Linked DNA regions of Mytilus edulis. The protein of the gene in region 2 purifies or fractionates together with the protein of the main gene of each other region. This does not show direct contact. Links are inferred from orthologs where the notes say so. Each region holds a gene or a part of one and is shown on either strand. Other genes may lie near its edges.

The links.
Region 1: the proteins of kinesin-like protein KIF23 (region 2) and ADP-ribosylation factor 6 purify together in Homo sapiens (affinity purification with western blotting; 3 studies listed by BioGRID and IntAct, with this or other methods). This does not show direct contact. The link is inferred for Mytilus edulis from reciprocal best matches to the Homo sapiens genes KIF23 and ARF6.
Region 3: the proteins of kinesin-like protein KIF23 (region 2) and protein ECT2-like purify together in Homo sapiens (co-immunoprecipitation; 3 studies listed by BioGRID and IntAct, with this or other methods). This does not show direct contact. The link is inferred for Mytilus edulis from reciprocal best matches to the Homo sapiens genes KIF23 and ECT2.

Annotation. Positions count from the first base shown.
Region 1 is NC_092350.1:7,208,203-7,215,433, reverse strand, and holds the start of ADP-ribosylation factor 6, read left to right. Parts: upstream 1-4,171; 5' UTR 4,172-4,571; intron 4,572-7,231. UniProt on the Homo sapiens protein: GTP-binding protein involved in protein trafficking that regulates endocytic recycling and cytoskeleton remodeling. GTP-bound form plays an important role in the transport of multiple palmitoylated proteins form the Golgi to the plasma membrane.
Region 2 is NC_092350.1:35,585,927-35,592,904, forward strand, and holds the start of kinesin-like protein KIF23, read left to right. Parts: upstream 1-3,871; 5' UTR 3,872-3,996; coding exon 3,997-4,007; intron 4,008-6,597; coding exon 6,598-6,658; intron 6,659-6,978.
Region 3 is NC_092346.1:78,100,819-78,108,413, reverse strand, and holds the start of protein ECT2-like, read right to left. Parts: upstream 3,051-7,595; 5' UTR 2,997-3,050; coding exon 2,954-2,996; intron 1-2,953. Other genes in the region: octanoyl-[acyl-carrier-protein]:protein N-octanoyltransferase LIPT2, mitochondrial-like, read left to right, coding at 5,732-5,740, 5,859-6,330, 6,882-7,120. UniProt on the Homo sapiens protein: Guanine nucleotide exchange factor (GEF) that catalyzes the exchange of GDP for GTP. Promotes guanine nucleotide exchange on the Rho family members of small GTPases, like RHOA, RHOC, RAC1 and CDC42.

The DNA.
Region 1 (7,231 bases), about 28 Mb from region 2:
GTCTTATTAATGTCTTTAGATATTGTATAATTCTCCTTATGAGCTCATTTAATGGAAATAAAACTTCTTCTTCTTTTATATAAAGTGATTTCTTAAAGCTATATATTTGGGGGACTTCGTTTGGCTAACTGTAGAAGCGTCGGTCATGTCTTCATTGTTTATTCTTTAATTTGAAGGCATTCTTTATCTTAATATTAATCTCCATATTCGTTATACATAAGCACTCCATTATTCTCTTTTCTGTAGTTTAAATATAAAAAATAAGAAGATGCGATATGCTTGCCAATGAGACAACTCTCAAAAAGAGACCAAAATGACACAGAAATTAACAGCTAAAATGCCACCGTACGACCTTCAGCCTTGAATGAGTAAAACCCGTGCCATAAATTAAAAAGCCCCGAAATGACTAATATATTTAAAAATTCAAACGAGAAAACTAAAAGGCCGGCCTGATTTATGTTCAAAATGGTGTAGAATTGGTTACATTTTGGAACAAGTTTATTTAATGGATCAATAGGTTTACCCAGATCGTATCCAAACTTCCAAGATCGGTAAACAACATCTCCGTAAAAAAAGGATGTGCTATTCCGTTAAAAAATAAGTTTTCTACATGCAGGTGCAACCAAACTTCCAAACCAAATCTTTATACCTATGGAACAATTTAGTATTTTTTAAAGTAATTTGTTGTTACGAAATTCCTGACTTAATGATTGTGCGGATCCGATCATTTTAAAACGGGAGGTCCAAACGCAGGTTAGAGTGGGTTGTTCCAACCACATGTCCCCATTCAAATGCATTGATCGTAAAAAAAAAAGGAGGGATTCAACCCCCAGAACCACTCCCTTTTGGATCCGCCACTACAGTATTACAAAGATTATGTTCATTGACATTGAAATCCAAAACCTAACAGCAGAGGTACCAAAGTAACATCATCTTATAACATAGGGGAAATCGTCTCTTTTCTCGGAAATTTTAGTGTTGAGTTTCCTATGAAAAACTGAAATATCTTAATCTAGGAAATGCATGACAGTTATAATCGTTTACATTTGATATACATGTAATTCAAGTAAGTTCCTTTGGGTAAAATTCGCCGTTACTGCATTTCGAAAATTCTTGAATTTAACAAAGAATATCATCAAGATAACGATATATCTGTTGTTGAATTAATCAATTAAATGTAATTTAGACGGCTCTTCACTTGGTTTAACAACAAACTTTGATTCATATCTGTATAAGAACAAGTCTGCTATCAAAGGGGCGAAATTGGTGCCCATGGGATACCTACAACCTGTCGATAAACTTTATTTAGAGATGTAATACTAGTATGAAAGGTTTCTGTAATTAGGATCATGTATAGCAAAATCATATAAACAATGCAACTACTAGTATATAGTAAAGTTCAAGAAAACAATGCGTCGGTTTATTATCGCCACAGAACTCTTGGAATAATAAAGCAAAAGCAAAATCTCTTCAGTTGAATAGACATGCGCTAACTACAGATTGAGACTTTTTAAGATATCCTTTTTTTTAAAACTTCTTTTAGAGGGAACCAGATCGAGAAACTTTCAGGACATTTGGAAGTGTCGATTATAATTGATGTTTTATACTCGCAGGTAAAGAATAATTCTGAAACAATGTTGAAGTGAAATCAATGCAAACCATGCTTCGGTCAAATCATTTTGAATGACCTGAACAGATAAAAAATAAGTATTGGTAAGACAACCAATGGCAAGTTCGAGTCGCTATTTTATATATAGCATAATACCATACCTTGTTAGGCGAACCTTGTTTTTCAAGCAGTTATATAGCCCCCCCCCCCCCCCCAACCACCACCACCACCACCACCACCACCACCACCACCACCACCACCACCAAACAAGAAAAAAACCAACGAATATGGCGTATCCATCCATGACACAAAATCAGTACATGCAATTAAGACTGCTCATCTAAATAATGACAACTTTGTGTTTTATCTTCATATTATTTATGTTTGTATTATTCAAACTAAACATAAAAGGGGAAGGGATAATTAGAAACTGAATATAACAATTTTAACAGGAATTTATAATATTAAATTTTTCTATTGGTTTTCGGTAACTTCAGTAAACGAGTCCCGTGACCCCAATTTTCCTCTCAAGTTTTCTGAAAGCACTGGCATTTTTAAAAGACACTTTCATATTATATTTTTTTTAAATCCGATATTTTTTTTCTTTCTGTCGGTTAAAACTTCTCATTAGAGCTTATGTTTGTCTCTGTTGTATACCTTGCCGACTCAAAATAAAGCTTATTTATTATTATTCTAAAACACATATTGTCTTTGATATTACCTGGACAATCGGAATATTATTTCCCGGATTTAACCCAAAACATTGACCTATTAACGTCACTAACTGATATTTGAATTATTCGAATAGACCTTTATTCGATATATATGTTTATTCCAAAATTTTTCAGCCAACTGATTTAAATTCACACTTTGATTATCCCGAGACTATCTTAGTATCTATGATTTGATACTAGTATATGTAATTCGTTACACGTAAGTTGGAGATCTATCCTAAACCGAGGATTAGGGTAGTCTGTGAAGCCTAGACTTAGACGATCTTAGACCCTGTTCACACTAGCAATTTTTTTTATCGATCTAATTTGAATCGATCTAAATAAAACCAGTTAGCGTTCACATTATCTTTAATCATATCGATCTCTATCGGTCTAATATGGACCACTGCGTTCACACTACAATTAAAAACGCAATCGATCTAACCTTTTTGCCCGTAAAACTGTAAACCATGTGTATAAATAGAACTGATTTATCAAATTCATGTGCTGATACACTGATACACACACTTGGAGAAAAAAATTTGGATAAAGTTATTGTTTCTATTGAATCACAATTTAAAATTTTGATACTAGTGTTATTGCAGTTTTCTTTAATTTTGAAAAAAAAAATAACTGTAGCAACGAAGCTACAACACGATGCCTGAAATACTGCGGTTCCTGCAAAGAAAAAAAATTCAACATAAGAAAAGAAGATACAGATTTCGCAAATCTATGCTATGGCGAAGACAACATGTTTACAGTTTGTTTTAAAGGTCTTTTAACAGAGAAATATGAGTTAAACAACGAACCTCTGAGATAGTTTTGCCGCTATACATGCGCATACGTTATTTTCGATTCAATCGTACTAATTTAAACCGATCTCTGCGTTCACATCTAAAATAAGATCGGTTTACTTAAGATCGATTCAAACTAAACTACCTCTTTTGGTGTTTTAGTTTAGACCGATTGAAGATCGATTCAATGTGTTCACATTAGCCCTTAAACCGATCTTAAGTGAACCGGTCTAGTTTAAATTGATAAAAATGTCCTAGTGTGAACGGGGTCTAACAACACAATGATCTACAAATCGTTGCCTAAACTGGGGGTATAAATTGATCTAAACTCTGTGACCCCGGCTTAAACCAGGGTGAAAGTCCCTGCTTTTCCAAAGATTGTCGAAAACAACATTTTAAGCTCTCTGATACTTTAGTATAGAAAGTCCCTGTACAGACTTAAGTTACAGACGGGGAAATATAACGATGAGGGTGGGTTTTTTTTAACGACCTTGACTACACATGAGGGTCTTGCAGGTGGCACGGTAGTATTTGCATTCCAGAATTTAGGTTGCCGTCTTTATCTAAACAGTGTGATTGGACAAAAAATCATGACAGTATCAACTGAACATACTTTCCCAAACTGAGGGATGAATCGGGTGTAGAAAAATATGAAATAATTTTACATACAGATAAAAATGATTTTTTGAGAATTTTTGAGAATTTTTTATTCACTGCACCATTAAAGACCTAAAAGTACTAGTGGCCTTAGGTTTTTAAAAATAGCAAAAATTGTAAACGGTCATGATACATATTCAAATTCATTTCTGAATAGTAAAATGAAAGTACTTCAGTTAACTCTCAATGTAGAATTTTTTGCAGTGTTAGAAAGTGGTGAAAATTCTAAAAAGGCTATCATTATCCCTTATGGGCCAGGAAATACTACCGTGCCACCTGCACGAAGTATCGGGTTTAAATAGAGTGTGATTGCATTACAATCTTTGACTTCCTCGAAAATCATTCATGTGTAAAATTGATCAATGACTTCATCTGCTCCACATCACGCCCAAACTCTCGTGAGAATTTGCGTGTTCAGATTCAAATAGTGTATTATTCCGCATTTTGATTTCTTTGGTTCTGGGCTCAGTTTCCGATAATCTTGTATTTGACTATTATTTTGCAAGTGTCTGTAGCATTATAAGAGCGCTTTCTTTTCGCACTTACAGAAATTAAGGCCGAAATTATGGACTATTTTATACGCCATTTTGCGGAAGTTTTGACCACCGCCATGGGTGATAATACCGCTTACAGAAATGGAACTTGACAGAAAATTATTACAATTTTCTTCTGTTATATGTTGTTGTTCAAAGTCCAATTAATACAACGAAATACTATTTTGTGAATGTAAACAAGTTAGATCCCTTCTAAGTGTCAAACGAGCCCTCTACTCTGAAAAAAACACCTGTAAACATTGAGGTAGGTGGAGACCAATATAAAATGACACCGGTGACTTTCTCGTTCATCTAAATGACATTACACTTCCATTTACACTTAAATTAGTAATTGAAGGGCAGGGATTGAATGATGTTATCATGCTTAAAAGAAACAATGTAACGACAGATCTGTACTAAATAATTGATTCTGTTGATATAATGAATATTTACTGAAAATAAATACTTGTGTATTACACATATTTTCCTAGACTAAAGACTACAATATTTATAAAATATAAAATAACTTTACACTTGAAACAGTTACCCACAGTCTCTTAATGGACATATTTCGTGTGATATGAAGAAATTGAGGAACTCGTGATTTAAATGAACGTTTATTAATTTACTGAATCTGGGTCCGTTCGCGCCCATTCACGTTCGTGCCCTTTCACTTTCGCACCCTTCAAGCAGTCAATCCCCTATGGGGTTGACCAGAGTGACATTCCCTCACATCATTCAATTTGTTTTTATAGTGTGGAAAACCCCCCAACAAATCTTACTGAGATTGATGAGAAAGAAACACACAAATGAATAGATTGACTTTAAACACTTTTCTACACATTTCCCTTCTGTTTCTAGCGAAATTATCGTATTTTGAGCTCTCTTTTACACTATTTATGTTTCTTTTACAATCCGGAAAAATCAGAAATTTTCTAAATATATCCAACCTACATTATATTTTATAATGACGTCATTGTTGGAATGCCACACTATGCAGAAGCAGGGATATCCTTCACTGGTTATTTAAATCATTCTCAGAGTTCATGCACTAATTATAAATTGTTATTTGTTAAATTTAAACATAATTATGTTTGTTGTAGATGATTCAAACATCAACATGCAATACTTTAATTTGTAGGTCAACAACTTTCAAAGTAAACAAAGTCCATGGAGATACATGAGATTGGGAAGAACGATTTTTAAATTTTTTTCTGTAAAATTCTGTTTTGTGAATCTTCCTCCAAATCAGGAGCACCTCAATTGATGAGTAATTATCCTCTAAAATAAAACTTGAAAATGTGACATTTAGTATATGATTAGTAGTCTTCCATTAAAACTAAATTGTGTGTACCAACAAATAAATCATTGTAATGGTTAAAAATGACGACCAGGATTTTTGGGTGAAATAAATCTTAAATATTAATCAAATTTGGTTAGTGTATTGCTATAATTTTTTATTTAATTGTTTTAGATCAAAGGGGCCAATCTGTTAAAAAACAATTATCTTTTGTGTTTTTCGTTTAAAATTTTTAATGTTTTACTCATACGAAGCTAAATACATGCAATATTTACATCATGGCAATTTAAAACAACAATCATGATTTTCTAATCATTCAACTGGAACTTGATTTTAAATAGACAGCTTTCGAGTTCGATGCATTTCCGTCAAAAACTCCGGTTTTAGTGAACGTCATTTGTGCGTTTAGGGGCGTCATCACTTCCGTTTTAATGTTGAGCGAGTGGTTGGAAAACTATAATTCTATATTGTACGAATTATTCAGCAAATTAAATTCTCAAAACTAACAATCAGCACAGCACTGCTGTCATTAGGGAATTGTCATTAAGTACCTACAGAACAACCATTATTTCTAGTTTATCCTGCACAACGACAATCACTAAGACGCTTGATGAACGTAAATTGTGCAGGGATACAGGCGATCCCCTCTATCTGGTAAATGACGTCATAAAGGCGCGCATAATTGACGAGTTTTTGCCGGTGACGGATGAACTCGAAAGTGGTCTATTGGGTGCGAACGGACCTTGGGTGCGAACGTGCGTGGTGCGAACATGTAGGGTGCGAAAGTGTATTGGGCGCGAACGAACCTGATACCCTAAACCAGTAAGACATGTACAAGAATTCTATATATTTATCTTATTTCTGTGGCAAAGTCAACAAAATATTAATGATCATATTTTTCCATCCCCAATTGATTGGTATTTTTATCTCTTAACCATGTTAACCTTTCCACCATATGTACAGGGCACGTTTACTGGTCCTTTTTACGTTATTTTATTTTATCAGTTATTTTTACCTTCGTCTTTTTTTATCTAACCCATATTTTAATAAACTTTTAAAAATTTAAAATAAATCTTTGATTTATCCACTTTTGTTAATACTTCCGATTACCCAGTAAGGGGTGTTCCTAAGATGGAAGCTTATACATAAGAAAGAAAAGAAAGAAAGAAGGTGATTGGCCATGCTGTCAAATCATTAATTATCATTGTTATCACATTTTGATCAGTTTCCATTTGAAGCTTATTGAATCATTTACCCATCTAGAATTGAATTTCTGTGTACATGTGAACATTGAAATGAGTTTTACTTTTTATTTTAAATTATTTATACATTTTTCCTGAAACTCTCTGGTGCCATTTTGGGATATGACTGCTCGCTGAAACCCTTATCAACAGATCAAGAAGTCCTATTTTCTCTGTTCAGGAAATTTTTTCTAATTTATATTGTACATCACCTATAGGCTATAGCACCCCTCCTTTAACCCACAGCATATAAGAATTGAATACAAGACCTGTCAGCCTTTTAGAATCAATTTAACATTTTGTAAGTAGTTGTACCTTAAAGTTATATCAGGGTTATCCTTAATAAAGCATATGTGCATATTTCCCTCAAAGAAACCCTTTTTT
Region 2 (6,978 bases):
TTAATAAATAAGTATTTTAAATATAATTTATATAAAATCAAGGAAAATTTACATGGCGATTATAATACTCTTTACCCTTTCGAGGTTATGAAAAACTATATGTTTTAATATTTTTAATTAAATCTTTATAAATTTATTTCAAAACCAGTATTTCTCGTGTTGCTTTAGTTAATGCAATCTTATATTTATCGTAGTTTTGTACCTTCTTCATATATCAACAAGGTATGAAACGAGATGATTTAAACGCTTACGCCTTATTGTGGTTGTGCAAGTTCTCAAATTCCATGCAAGACAGATTATCGGTTTTTATGTATACCACCACTTCTAAGACAAATCTTTAAAACATACACAGTGTTAAAAACATTTGTATGATATATTAATTTAACTATCAATAATGAACTTTTGACGAGGTAAAAATGAAGTTACATGTTGACCTGTTCAGCTTATATTGACTGGGGACAAAGTCCGAGGGTCAATAGATTCTATCCTTATATAACATAGCCAGTACGATACGAAAATGCAATTTACCACTTTTGTCGGTAAAAGATAGAAACTAAAAACTGAGTAGGTTGCAAAAATGTGTAAAACAGAATTACATAAATATTAAGTATTTTCCTAAAACTTATTTTCATATGGTAGATACTAACTACTAAATATATCAAGTATAAAACAGATTACAAAGTACTGATGAATATCTACTTAGTATGGGATGAGGCGACTTGAAATGTCTTTCATTATAACCGTTATGAGCTTTATCAAATACATATAGTGCTTTATCAAAACTATATTTTGTTATTGTGAAATGTATATTGTTAATAAAATGTCAAAGACGTAAACATTTTTTAAACCAAAATATATGACCAATACATCACATTTTAATTCTAAACTAATACTGCTGTTTCATCGAAATAACGATTATTTCATAATTTGACTGACTAAAAATATAATTTAAAAGAAGTAAAAACAAAAATGAGAAGAAACCAAAGGGATATCCAAAGTCGAAAACATACTAAACAACGCTGTGACAAACACATAATAAACAACGCTGTGACAAAAACATACTAAACAACGCTGTGACAAAAACATACTAAACAACGCTGTGACAAAAACATACTAAACAACGCTGTGACAAAAACATACTAAACAACGCTGTGACAAAAACATACTAAACAACGCTGTGACAAAAACATACTAAACAACGCTGTGACAAAAACATACTAAACAATGCTGTGACAAAAACATACTAAACAACGCTGTGACAAAAACATACTAAACAACGCTGTGACAAAAACATACTAAACAACGCTGTGACAAAAACATACTAAACAACGCTGTGACAAAAACATACTAAACAACGCTGTGACAAAAACATACTAAACAACGCTGTGACAAAAACGAAAAACAACCAATAGACAAACAACAGTAAAAAATACATCACTGGGCAACAAGAACCCAGCTAAACATCGAGATTGATCAGGTGCTCCGCAAAAATAAACAGATTCTGCATCACTAGTGGTACCAGTCTTATTGCTCGTGTAAGTACAAATCCGCGGCGATGAGTCGTCGAAGAAAAGAGAAAACAATCATTTTCATTAGTATTCGCAACACAATACACAAGAAACTGAAATCTCCACTCAAACTGAGAAACGATTTATAATCATTTATCAATTCCAACTCCTCTAAACGCGCTTCTTGCGTTGACACAGAAAATTATGATAACCCGTGTAGTAAGACAAAGTTCATGGTTATTTCTGCATTGTTTTTTAGAAGACATTATTTAGTGTCTGGTTCATTTTTCATTTTGACCAATGAAATGTGTTGAGAGTAACTATTATCTCAAATGAAAATGGAAATGTTAAGTCAGATCCAACTAAAACATATTTGTAAGTATCCAATACACTGCCATGCAACGTTTGGATTGCTTGTCATTTGCTTAACGTCTAGTTGCAAACATTAATGCATATCTATACAAAGGTATACATGAAGAGTATTATGGAGAATAATAAATACAACAGCGATACAAAGATATGCTTACTTGTTCAAGGTGTACAATGCATCTTTTAAAATGGAAGGCCCCTAAAATATGAGGGTTGGAGGATAAACATTGAAAATTAGTAAAATATGTAACCAAACAATTCACGATCTTTCCAGGGCATCCTCTCATACAATGATTGTTAATTGAGATAAGTATACAATAGAAACTCAATAAAGCGAATCCATGTACTAAATGTCATCGTACAGTCTTCAACAACGAGCAAAATTCATATCATAGTCCCCGACATGAAAAAAATAAAGAAAAAAATCAAAAAAATAAACCAACAGACTATGACCAAAACAATCAACAAAACACTAATATTACAGACAGCAAACAACGACAACCACTAAGTTTCAAATTCCTGACTTGTAATTGATTGAGTGATTGTTGCTGTTTTAGCTCCACTTTTTAGTGCCACGTTTGTTCTGTTTCGAGACTGTCAGTTTTATTGGTGGCGGAAGCTTCAGTGCTCGTAGAAAACCACCGAACTTCGATAGGAAAACTGACAGACAATCCTAGTCAATTAAGATTGAGGCCAAGTGCACCCGCATGAACGGTGTTCGAACTCACAACTTCAGTGTTGACTGGCTTGTGATTACAGTAGGTGAGCTACTTGGACCACTTGGCCACCGAGGCCCCTCCTGACTTGTGATAATCACCTATAAAATTGGCGGGCTTAAACATGTTTTTGAGCGTTCTACCTTGGATAGCGATGTAAATGCCACATAAGCACATAATTGAAAATTCAATTAAAGAAATGAGGTTATGTTAAATGTTAAAATTCACAACAAGCAGAAAGCACAATCATTAGCACAACACAAGGAATGTAGCCAATGAGCAGGTATAATAAACCAGTTAACATAGATTAATTAAAAATTAAATTAAAACTATATAGGAAAAAAAAAGAAAGCACGAACAGAATTCAGCTATGATACAGCATTTGGTATTTACAGACAGCAGAAACAATTTTGCCCACCATACCATCTAGAAATTAAAAGTTAATTTTCAAACAAGATGGACGAGGCTTCATTTTGCAGCCTATTCTTAAGTAGTGCTGCCTCATACCTGAAAGAATTCTTATGATACTTTGTAATTTCTATGTCTTGTCTCAGAAATTTCCCCCTATGCATCTTAATAATATATTGAGGTATATAGGAATTTTTTTTCTGAGACAAGTGCCTGTGCTTGTTATGTCTCTCATGGCGCACATCTAAAACAATTGAATTGCATGTTTATTTTATTTTTAAAATTTTATTTCAACCTCTTTTTTCTAAAAAATAAATATATAAATAAAAAAAAGACGATATAGATGTATAGCCTCTAAAGCTCTTTTTGATTTACCTAACAAAATATGAAAGCCAAAAACTACATAAACGACTATAAGGAACTACTGATATGTGTGATGAATTAATACCTGTCTATATATATGATATGAAGTTTCCTATGAATTTCACGGTTAAGTTTTGTTTTATGCCACAAGTATCATTTTATTTATACGACAAAAAAGAATTAATATTTAATGAAAATATGTATCTATTCAATGTATGCTATGAAATCAAAGTTTTCATGATATACTAATTCTTAAAGAAAAATATTTTCTCTTTTTATAATTTTTCTTATTAGCGAGTTTACAAATAAAAACTGAGTAGAAAAATTAGGGAAAATAAATGTCCTGTGTGTATACCTTGTCGGTCGCAGCTGGATAACTCAGACTAAAACAAGTAGTCCGAGTTTGTTATAGTCCGATATTGTGAGACCAAACTATATTTGGGCCGAGTTTGATATGTTCCGAGTTAAGTATGTATGGTCCGAGATGTCTAGAAGTCTTGTCGGTTACCTCCCTTGTGGCGCTTGGTTTAAAAACAAGTCACGTGATTTTTGACTGGGGGAAATTTGAAACAACAAACAACTGTAACTTGTAAAAAGCATATAACGAAGATCATTTTAAGTATCATTGAGCGATGCCACCACAGTAAGAGATATACCATTAAGGGGAATATGTTCAATGAAGTTGATTAACCTTTTTATGTGTAAAAAGTTCAATTTCAATGCAACACCATCGAAGTTCTTCATGTTATAATTTTCCGCTAGGAAATCATTTCTGTCGCAATTTACCCAGTTCAAAAGACCTTTATCATTGAAAAATAGGCAGCTCCGATATTTCGATTCCCGATTTTTCAAGACAACGGAGGCAGTGGATAAAACAGTTCTGGAGAGATGCAAAAAAAGGGGGGGGGGGTTTAAACAGTCAACACGAAATTAACTTTACAGGTGTAACTAGAGAGCATGAATTCCATTTACAAAATTGCTGGATTCCAACCCAGGACCTTTGTGTTACAAGGCAGCTCGTTAACTTACTGAGTTAAAGAAGTAATTCCTAAAGCTAAGCTCAAATTCTTACTACTGACTAACTTGCATTGAGACTAAAGTTCTAAGGGGGAGCAATCCTGTCAAACTTCCCCCCACCCCAAGAGTCAGTATACTCTTTAATGATGAGATCTTCATTTACATGTATATATATATGGGGGAAGTTTTACAGGATTGCTTCCCCTTAGAACTCTTAGAATTCTGAAGCTAGTCAATAGTAAGAATTTGAGCTTAGGAATTACTTCTTTAACTCAGTCAGTTAACGAGCTACCTTGTAACACAAAGCCAGGGAAATATATATTTATACAGTACCTGGCCAAAAGTATTCGTCGCCTGCATTTTTTTGCTATTTATTTCATACAAAAACACATTTTTTCAAAAAAACATTTCGAGGGCATTTATGGTTGGATTTTTATCAACAAGGCCTTAAAAGACGTGGAATCGTCTAAAGCATGTTTGTTTTTTTGATAATTGCTTAGTTTTCAGGTGTTTTTGCTTTCTCTTGATGTGAACACATACAAGATTTTTTTATTATTTAATTTGGTTGAATATATTGCGAAATTTCTGATCAGAAATTAATATTTGTGTTTATCTTGTGAAAAAATTAAAATGATCCACACAAAATATATAACCAAATAAACAAATAAACCTGTGACAATTCTGCTTCTATTGGTACCAAATTGTTTAAAATCAAACCAAAAATGACCCCAAACTATGTTTTTGAAAAAATTTAGTTTTATATACAATACATGTAACGTGACGGTACCCAAATTGCACCTATTTTGACAGTTTATTTAACTACGTTTTTTTATGATCAAGACAAAAATTTCCATTTTGTGTTTATTTTGTAGCCGTATCCTTCTTTATTATATAGGTACACCAATTTGATTTTCAATCCATATGAAATCATAGAAAAATTGGTCTGAACTAACCTCCAAACCATCAATGATTATGTATTGAGGAGTACCCAAATTGCATCCATGCTTACATTTGCATCGTCAAAAGTCAAATAACAGAGCTTTTGTTTAATTTTTTCAAATATTTTGAACAATTGGATATTTGTCCATGCTTACTCTTCATTTTTTAAGAAATGGGTACTTGAAACATATTATATTTGGTAATTTTAAAAAGATGACGTCGCATGGCGATGTTTCGGTACATTTTGCTTTTTCAGTAAACACTTCATCTGTCGATAAATACTGTGAACGTTTTGTGTATATCTAAATATGTTTACCGATGATGAAAGACGTGCATAGTATCAAATCATACAAATACAAATTGTTTAGTCTCTAGGAAATCTTGTAAGATTTCCGCTGCTATTTTTGCTAAATAGGTGCAATTTGGGTACTCGGTGCAATTTGGGTACCGTTACGTTATATATAGCGAAAAATCTCATGTGACGAATACTTATGGCCACACTCTGTATATACTGTATATATTTCCCTGGCTAGGTAATTCTGCCCATGACAAAAAAATGTACCATGTCAAGTTATTTTTTCAATTGGCCAAAAAAAATAAAAATTTTACCTTGTCAAAATAAAAAAAGATGTGTGTTTCCTATAACGGTTACCACCCTATTATATAAGCTCAAAAATAGACTACCCTAAAGTTTTTTTTTTGTCATTTTTCAATAAGCACTGTTAAAGTTAGAATGTCCCTCCCATAGACTAAATGTAAAGAAAAAAGGTTAAATTAAAAATAAAATCCCTTCCTACCTACCCTATTTGCATATTTTTTTTTGGCCCTACATAAAAATAGGAATTGGAAAAGTGCAAACAAACAATATTTTGATTTAAGCTGAACCATGCCAGAGAGCATGAATTTCATAACAAACTACTTGTTTCCATCAGGATTCGAAACCAAGGACCTTTGTGTTACAAGGCAGCCTGTTAACCAACTGAGCTAAAGAAGTACTTTCTTTAATAGCTCAACCGCTTACGGCTGACTACGTATCAACTACATTTTCTAAGGGAAGCAAAGCTACTGAACATTTGACTGGGCCCCTGGAGTGAAATTGTAAAACATGGAATTTATAATTTAGAAAAGACATCTTGCAGCTGGTATTTTGAGAAAAAAAAGAAACTTTAATAGTTGATTTACTGTAAATTGTTCTCTGAAATTATTTCCTATTTAAAAAAATGATTAATACTAGACTTACACTTATTGTAATATTAACAAATAATTATATTTTTCAGACGAGGAAAAACCCCCAGGAAGAATAAAAATGGATCTGGATCTCAGACAGAACCTGTTGAGGTGAGGACAAATCCTAATGATCACATTCATAAATATGAAAAAAGAATGTGTGTGTTTACGGGTCTTAGCCAAAATTTATGGATATACATGTATATGAAGAACAAAATTTATAATAAATTGCCATTGAATCTGGTCCTGATCAAGGCTTCCAAAACGGTCATATATTCCGGTCATTTGTATAATGTCCGGTAAAAGTCCGGCTGGGCAAAGCATGAAACGGTCATATACTTTTTAGTTTTCAAGGCTTTTTCGGTCATTTATACATAATTCACGATCTTTTTGACCCAACCTTTTGCCTTTAACATCAACACATTTCCGGT
Region 3 (7,595 bases), on a different chromosome or scaffold from region 2:
AATCTAAATCATCATAATCACTTGCTGAAACTTATTTGATTAATTCGACAAATGGATCGTCTATCCTCAGATAGTATTCTCCTGTCTAGTTTGTTGATCTACCTGTACAAGCTCAGGTACAAGTGATTAGCGATCTTAATCCGGATATCCCCCAGGCGTTAGAACTGTACTGGATTATAACATAAAAAGCCTAAGGTTATGCAAATACATGCATTTGATTATAATTGATAAAAAAAATGGCGTCGGGCTACAAAATACGATGAAGTTTTGAACGATGGCGGAGACAATTTAACGATGGCGCAAGGCAATTTAACGATGGAGCAAGTCATTTGACGATGGCGCAAGACATTTGAACGATGGCGGGGCGCCATCGTTAAACAGGCCATGGAGATCCCTGTTCTGTAATTGAGTGGTTGTCGTTTGTTGCAGTGTGTCTTTTGTTTTTCATTCATTTTTTTACATTAATTAAAGGTCGTTAGTTTTTATCATTTTACATTTATGATCTGCAGCAAGGGGGGAGGGGGGGGGGGGGGAGATAATAAAATAGAGAAATTATGGAAAATGGACTGAACAGGCACTTAAAATTAAATTGCCATAGCACTTGCATCGGTTGCACTCGGGAAATAAGACCTGTATGATTGACAAGAAGAGACACATCAACTACTGATGGTATACATGGGTAAGAGGTCAAACCTGGTCAAATTTTTCTATGCGTTTTATTAAAGACAATTTTTTTTTATCAAGTTTCAAAACAGTGTAATCACATTTTAGACCAGAAAAACGAAATTATTATATTTTAGAACACAAAATGTTTTTTCTTTTACAAGTGTTGAAAAATACAGAGAAAAAAATGAATACATTATAAATTTTAAAACGCCGTTTGGTGAAGAAATTGTTAGTGGTTGACATACATTAAATAATTGGGAAATAGCACAATTATCATGTCTCTGATTTTTTTCTTTTATATATAATACCTTTCTGCTTACATTTTTTTTTGCTTGATTTGCAATTAAATAGCGGATGGTTTAAACTGATTGTCTATTTCATTTTTGAAGTAAACAATATATATCCTTCTTAGAATTTTGTTAAGGGTGTGATTCGTACTATTAATATGGCTATATACAAATGTAACCCTCTGCAAGTCTGACCGTTTAGTTGTCAACATACTTTTTGTGTACTTTATTTTTATAACGTCTTTGATTTGGTATGAAACTAGTTGTGTGTATTTTCTATTACAGTGATTTATTATATGATCCTTGATTTCACAACGTTCAGTGGAAAATATTTGATGCATATTAGGGACTTATAAGAACAATGTAATCATACATCGATCACCTCGACATGAATTTTTAGCACGTATATAAACATTCCAAAAAATTATGTACAGGAAGATAACAAAACTACCGAACTTGTCCGAAGAATGACTTATAACTCCCCCGATTCACAATTTACCAGGGGCGGATTTAGGCGGGGGCGTGTTGGGCATGCGCCCCCCCCTAAAATTTGCAAAGCATGGGTTGTCCTCAGCTCAATAAAGTATCTGAACAGACAACGAATATTAATCTCGTCGCATTGCATCTGTTTTAACATTCAAAGAAGTATATAAAACAGTAAGTTTAACAGAATCAATGTGATTACTAATAAACTGACCTACGGTTTATTTATAAGTTCTATAAATATATTATACTTCATCGCGGTACTGCGTTTGGTGAAAAATATCATAGGCTTTTAGCAGTTCAAGTAAAACAATGTGACATGGTAGTTGCGGATTTTATAAACAATTGCTTTGATAAGTTCAAAAACAACCCTACCTCACTTTTCCACGAAGTAGTCGAAAGTGCCCTACCCGCGGTTGGGTTGGTTATTTCATTATGGCACGGTCCTGTTTAAATTCTTTCTTAATGAAAGATAGGAATGCTGGTTCAAGCGAAAGGTTCGTTTATTGATTCGTATCATTGTTTAATATCTCTGTATGATATCAATATACTAGTGTTTCTCACTTTCAACCTGTAAAGTTTACCTTGCCGAAGCATGCATAAACGGGGAACGCCCCCAACCCGTACTACCGTATTACATAGGATCCCACGAAAATAAACATATCTTCGCAAGGACCTCATTCTGATTTTACTTGTATGCGGTAGAAATGTATATAAAAAGTTTGACACGACCTCCGGAAATAGAAGAAAAGACAATTAAAAATCGCTGGCAAAAGTAGAAATTCTTGTTTTCAAAATCTTATATTGGTCGGTGAGCTATCATTGAGTCAATGAATAGAAGCTCGCAGATTTCTTGTTAATTATAGTGATTACAAATTGTCAGGGGTGGATTTATGCGGGTTTACCTTGAAACTTCAATTTCACGCTAATTTTACCACAAAATATTTATTTCTCGCCACGCTTGGCAAGATATCTAAATTGCATCCTCTCTAGAAGAATATTTCAATAATTTCGATAAAAAATTTAAGTTTGCGCCCCCACTAACCGAAAATCCTGGATCCGCCCCTGTTTACAAGATATCGATAGACGGCAATTGCCAATAAAGGCTAATTAAGGCTAATTAATACCAAGCGTGACATGTATTTAATAAGAGGGTGATAAAATTTCGGAAAATATCTGCTTTTGATGTGAGTCCAGTACTTTATCTATATGGCTTTTATATCTATGATTTGACATTGCTCACTATTGAAGATACAACATATTTTCTTTTCCGGTGAAAAGTGGTCACACAGACATTCATATCATATCTTTTTTTTATAAATCGAGTAAAGTGGCTAGTATTACAATATTTATATTTAGTTCTCGAGACTGGAAAACAAAAAGAGAAGAGTGGGTTGTGCTTTTTGTGGATCGTTGTGTCTGACAAGAGTGCAACCCTGATTTGTCTACGTCAATAACATCATTGGTACATTGAATATAATATGAGGCTTTTTAACTTAAGTTTTATAACAACGTGCCATCATCTAAGGGTACGTCGGGCTTTGTTTTACACTCCGACATTGTTTCCACACTTGAAAATGGCGCTGTTCAAACAAACCGCATTTTTGATTGGCTAATGAATTTGAAGACAATTTCCCATAGTTCAAAACAAAAACAGGAAGTAGCATGCTGTCAAGAAAAATGTCAACAAATACAAATCCGGTCCAATAATTTGGTCGTCTGAATTACATTCCTACTGGTAATTCGAAGATTTGGTAATTTCTGTTTAATTCCATTTCACCCAAGCCTAGCCGTTAATTTTTCTCTGATCCAAAATCCACGATGTACAGATAAATATGTGCAAAGCTGAAATCACTGAATCTCTGTTCTTTTATTTTATAGACCCAGCTATCAACTAGTGATCTTAACTACTCAATTAAAAAAAAATATTTATTAGGATATCATCTCTAAAATTACAACCATTTACTTGATCTATTAAAATCAATAATTTATGAGGGTATATCTGAGGGTAGTAATGCCCTTTAGGGTCAGGCGTCAAAAGGTCATTTTCGGCTACCGTAAGCATCAAATTGGTAAAATTTTTAACGTGATTCGTCAAAATATCCTTATCGTGATTTGTCAGAGGTCTCAAATAATTACCGTTACTGTTATTTTTTGAAATAATTTAACGAGATTAATCAAAGTCAGACTATTTTTATACAACCACAAAACGAAAATTTTTTGGTCATATATTGGTATCATGTTGGCGTCGGCGTCGAATACTTTTAGTTTTCGCACTCTTACTTTAGTATAAGTAAATAGAAATCTATGAAATTTTAACACAAGGTTTATGACCACAAAAGGAAGGTTGGGATTGATTTTGGGAGTTATGATCCCAACATTTTAGGAATTAGGGGCCAAAAAGGGCCCAAATAAGCATTTTCTTGGTTTTCGCACTAAAACTTTAGTTTGAGTAAATAGAAATCTATGAAATTTTGACACAAGGTTTATGACCACAAAAGGAAGGTTGGGATTGATTTTGGGAGTTTTGGTTCCTACAGTTTAGGAATTAGGGGCAAAAAAGGGCCCAAAAAAGCATTATTCTTACTTTTCGCACAATAACTTTAGTTTAAGTCAATAGAAATCAATGATATTTAAACACCACAAGGTTTATGACCACAAAAGGAAGGTTGGTAATTATTTTGGGAGTTGAGGTCCAAACAGTTTAGGAATAAGGGGCCAAAAAGGGGCCCAAATAAGCATTTTTCTTGGTTATCGCACCATAACTTTAGTATAAGTATATAGATATCTATGAAATTTAAACACAAGGTTAATGACCATAAAAGGAAGGTTGGGATTGGTTGTGGGAGTTTTGGTCCCAACAGTTTAGGAATAAGGGGTCCAAAGGGTCCAAAATTAAACTTTGTTTGATTTCATCAAAAAATGAATAATTGGGGTTCTTTGATATATATATACCGAATCTAACTGTGTATGTAGATTCTTAATTTTTGGTCCCGTTTTCAAATTGGTCTACATTATAAAGTCCTAAGGGTCCAAAATTAAACTTAGTTTGATTTTAACAAAAATTGAATTCTTGGGGTTTTTTTATATGCTGAATCTAAACATGTACTTAGATTTTTGATTATGGGCCCAGTTTTCAAGTTGGTCCAAATCAGAATCCAAAATTATTATATTAAGTATTGTGCAATAGCAAGAAATTTTCAATTTCACAGTACTGAGGCAATTATTGCACAGGATTGTGCAATAGCAAGAAATTTTCAATTTCACAGTATTGCGCAATAGCAAGAAATCTTCAATTGCACAGTATTGTGCATTAGCAAGTATTTTCAATTGCACAGTATTGCGCAATAGCAAGAAATATCTAATTGCACAGTATTGCGCAATAGCAAGAAATTTCAATTAGAGTTATCTTTCTTTGTCCAGAATAGTAGTTGAATCAACTTAAATCATTGTTTTATACAATATACAATGTATATTCACTTTTACTATCAACTGATAAATTAAAACAATCTTTACCATTCAGTGATAACAAGCACTTTTTTTTTAATATTTTATGATGTTAGTCTTCACGCCGAGTGGCAGCCTGGGCAGCCCAGGCTGGTGAAATTGCTCTTGGGCCTGTAAAAATCAGACCTACAGGCCAACAGAATCTAACTAAAAATTTCCGCTGTAGGTCGAGTAATTTGTAACAACAGCAAAGAAAAGTGCAATAAAGATATTATTTAAAAAAAAAAAAAAAAAAAAAAATTCTAAAATTGAGCTGCGGGCCTGTAGATGTAGCAGTTCAGCGTGAAGACTGTGATGTACTTAAATGAGTAGTTATTCTTGCAAACTCCATTAGAAATTTGAATTGAGATTGGTTTTGGAATAAAGGAAAGGGGGATGTGAACAAAAAAAATTGGGGGGGGGGGGGGGGGGGGGGGGGGCAAAGTGAATTGCTCAAAGGCAAAACAAAAATTTTAAGTTCATTAGACCACATTCATTCTGTGTCAGAAACCTATGCTGTGTCAACTATTTAATCACAATCTAATTTAGAGCTGAATCCAGCTTGAATGTTGTGTCCATACTTGGCCCAACCGTTCAGGTTTCAACCTCTGAGGTTGTATAAAGCTGCACCCTGGGGAGCATCTGGTTTATCCTCTAAACCAAGTGTACATTTTATTGTCACGCACTAAAAACTACAAATAACGTCATTTGGCAAGCATTTTTACCGTTTATCGTCATGAAAGTATCCCCATTACCACCCTCAAATGTATGACCTGTCAGGCTATTGACAAAATGTAGAAAAATAGCTAATGGAGAAGGTACAGCTTGATTACGTTAGATTAAATTATATCAATTCGTCAATCTTTTTTCAAGTTACGGTATTAGAATAATGTCATTAATGATTATCAAAATACATGTGAGCTTTTTCCATTACAGACAAATGTCATGATGAGCTCTTACAGCAAGATTGTGAGTGTATTAAATCTTGGAAAAATGGGATTCCTTGATGCTTATAAGGTACAGACCAAATTTGCACGACAGCATTTAGACAGTATGGCAGGAGTACACGGTTCAAATGGAGAAAATGTTGTATTACTTGTAGAGCATAACCCAGTTTATACCATTGGAATTAGATCTAAAGACTATTCGGAAGAATACGAACAAAAACTTAAAAAGCTAGGTGCTGAATTTTGCCGAACAGATAGAGGTGGTTTAATTACCTATCATGGACCAGGACAACTTGTTGCTTATCCAATTTTAAATCTAAAATATTTTACACCAAATATGAAGTGGTATATTTGTTCCATGGAAAAGACAATGATTGGAACTTGTAAATATTATGGTCTAAATGCCCATACAACAGAAGATACAGGAGTATGGATTGGAGATAGGAAAATTGGAGCTATTGGTAAGTCTGAAAGGTCTTTTTTACCATCAATATTAGCTATTCATCAAGATACACTATCATGGCTAATGTTAAGCAAAAATAAAAGTTTTACTTTTGGTTTTATAACCATTATTGATCATTATTTGTGAAAGACATTCATTTTGATGTTTTGCACAGTTGAAAATTACTAAAAATTGATGCAGGAATGAATGATCAAACACTTTATTTGTTTTGTATACTTTTGATTAAAAAATTTTTTTTTATCATGTTTACAGAAGTTAAAATTTCATGAATATATTTATTTTTGAGCTACAATTTATGTTTCATAACGTCATACGAATTTCTCAATTAGTACCGGTACTCTACAAATATGCATTTAATTTGCCACTGGACATTAAACAACAATCCATCCATTATTAATGAATTGTACCAGTTTTTTGTGAGTTTACTAGTCTGTGTGATTTTCTTTTGTGTATTAATGAGTGCTAGAAACAATTCGTAAATTTTGTAGCATTAAACTCAATGCTCAAATATAATTTGTTTATATTTTATCAATTATTATTATATTGTAGGTGTTCATGGTCGCAGATATGTAACAACTCATGGTGTATCTTTGAACTGTAATACTGATTTGAACTGGTTCAAACATATAGTACCTTGTGGATTAAAAGGAAAAGATGTGACGTCTCTTAGTAAAGAAAAGGGCTGTGATATTAATATAAATGATGCTGTAAAACCATTTTTAGAAAATTTTCAAAGACAATTTGATTGTCAATTAAAGTATATAGATAAAGAAACAGAGGAATATTAACACAAAATAAGTATATAATTATAATATAACAATGAATCATGTTTTAATTTATATAAAAAATATATTTTATTTATTTCCACATTTTTATAGATCCAACATTATGACTAAGAAAATAAATTGTTTATAAAAAAAATATTTGCCAAATTGATCTATTGGAAAGAAGTTATAAAATTGTGAATATGAATTTAATTAGAGATTCTATGTTTTGAAAATAATTTGATGTGAAGATATGAACAGGAGATATGTGTCAATAGAACAACAAACCAACAACACAATAAACAAAATGATATTGACCCATTTAATGTGATTGTGTCTTCAGGTGAGGACTCTTTGATGGTGCTGTAGAAAAGAATCTTCCTTCACTTCTCTGGGTAAAAATTACATGAAAAGTGCACAGGCTGTTATGTCTTGTCTGTTTAAACAACCAGGATTGATTTAATGTTATTAGTCCTAAAGAAAATGTTTAACTACAAAT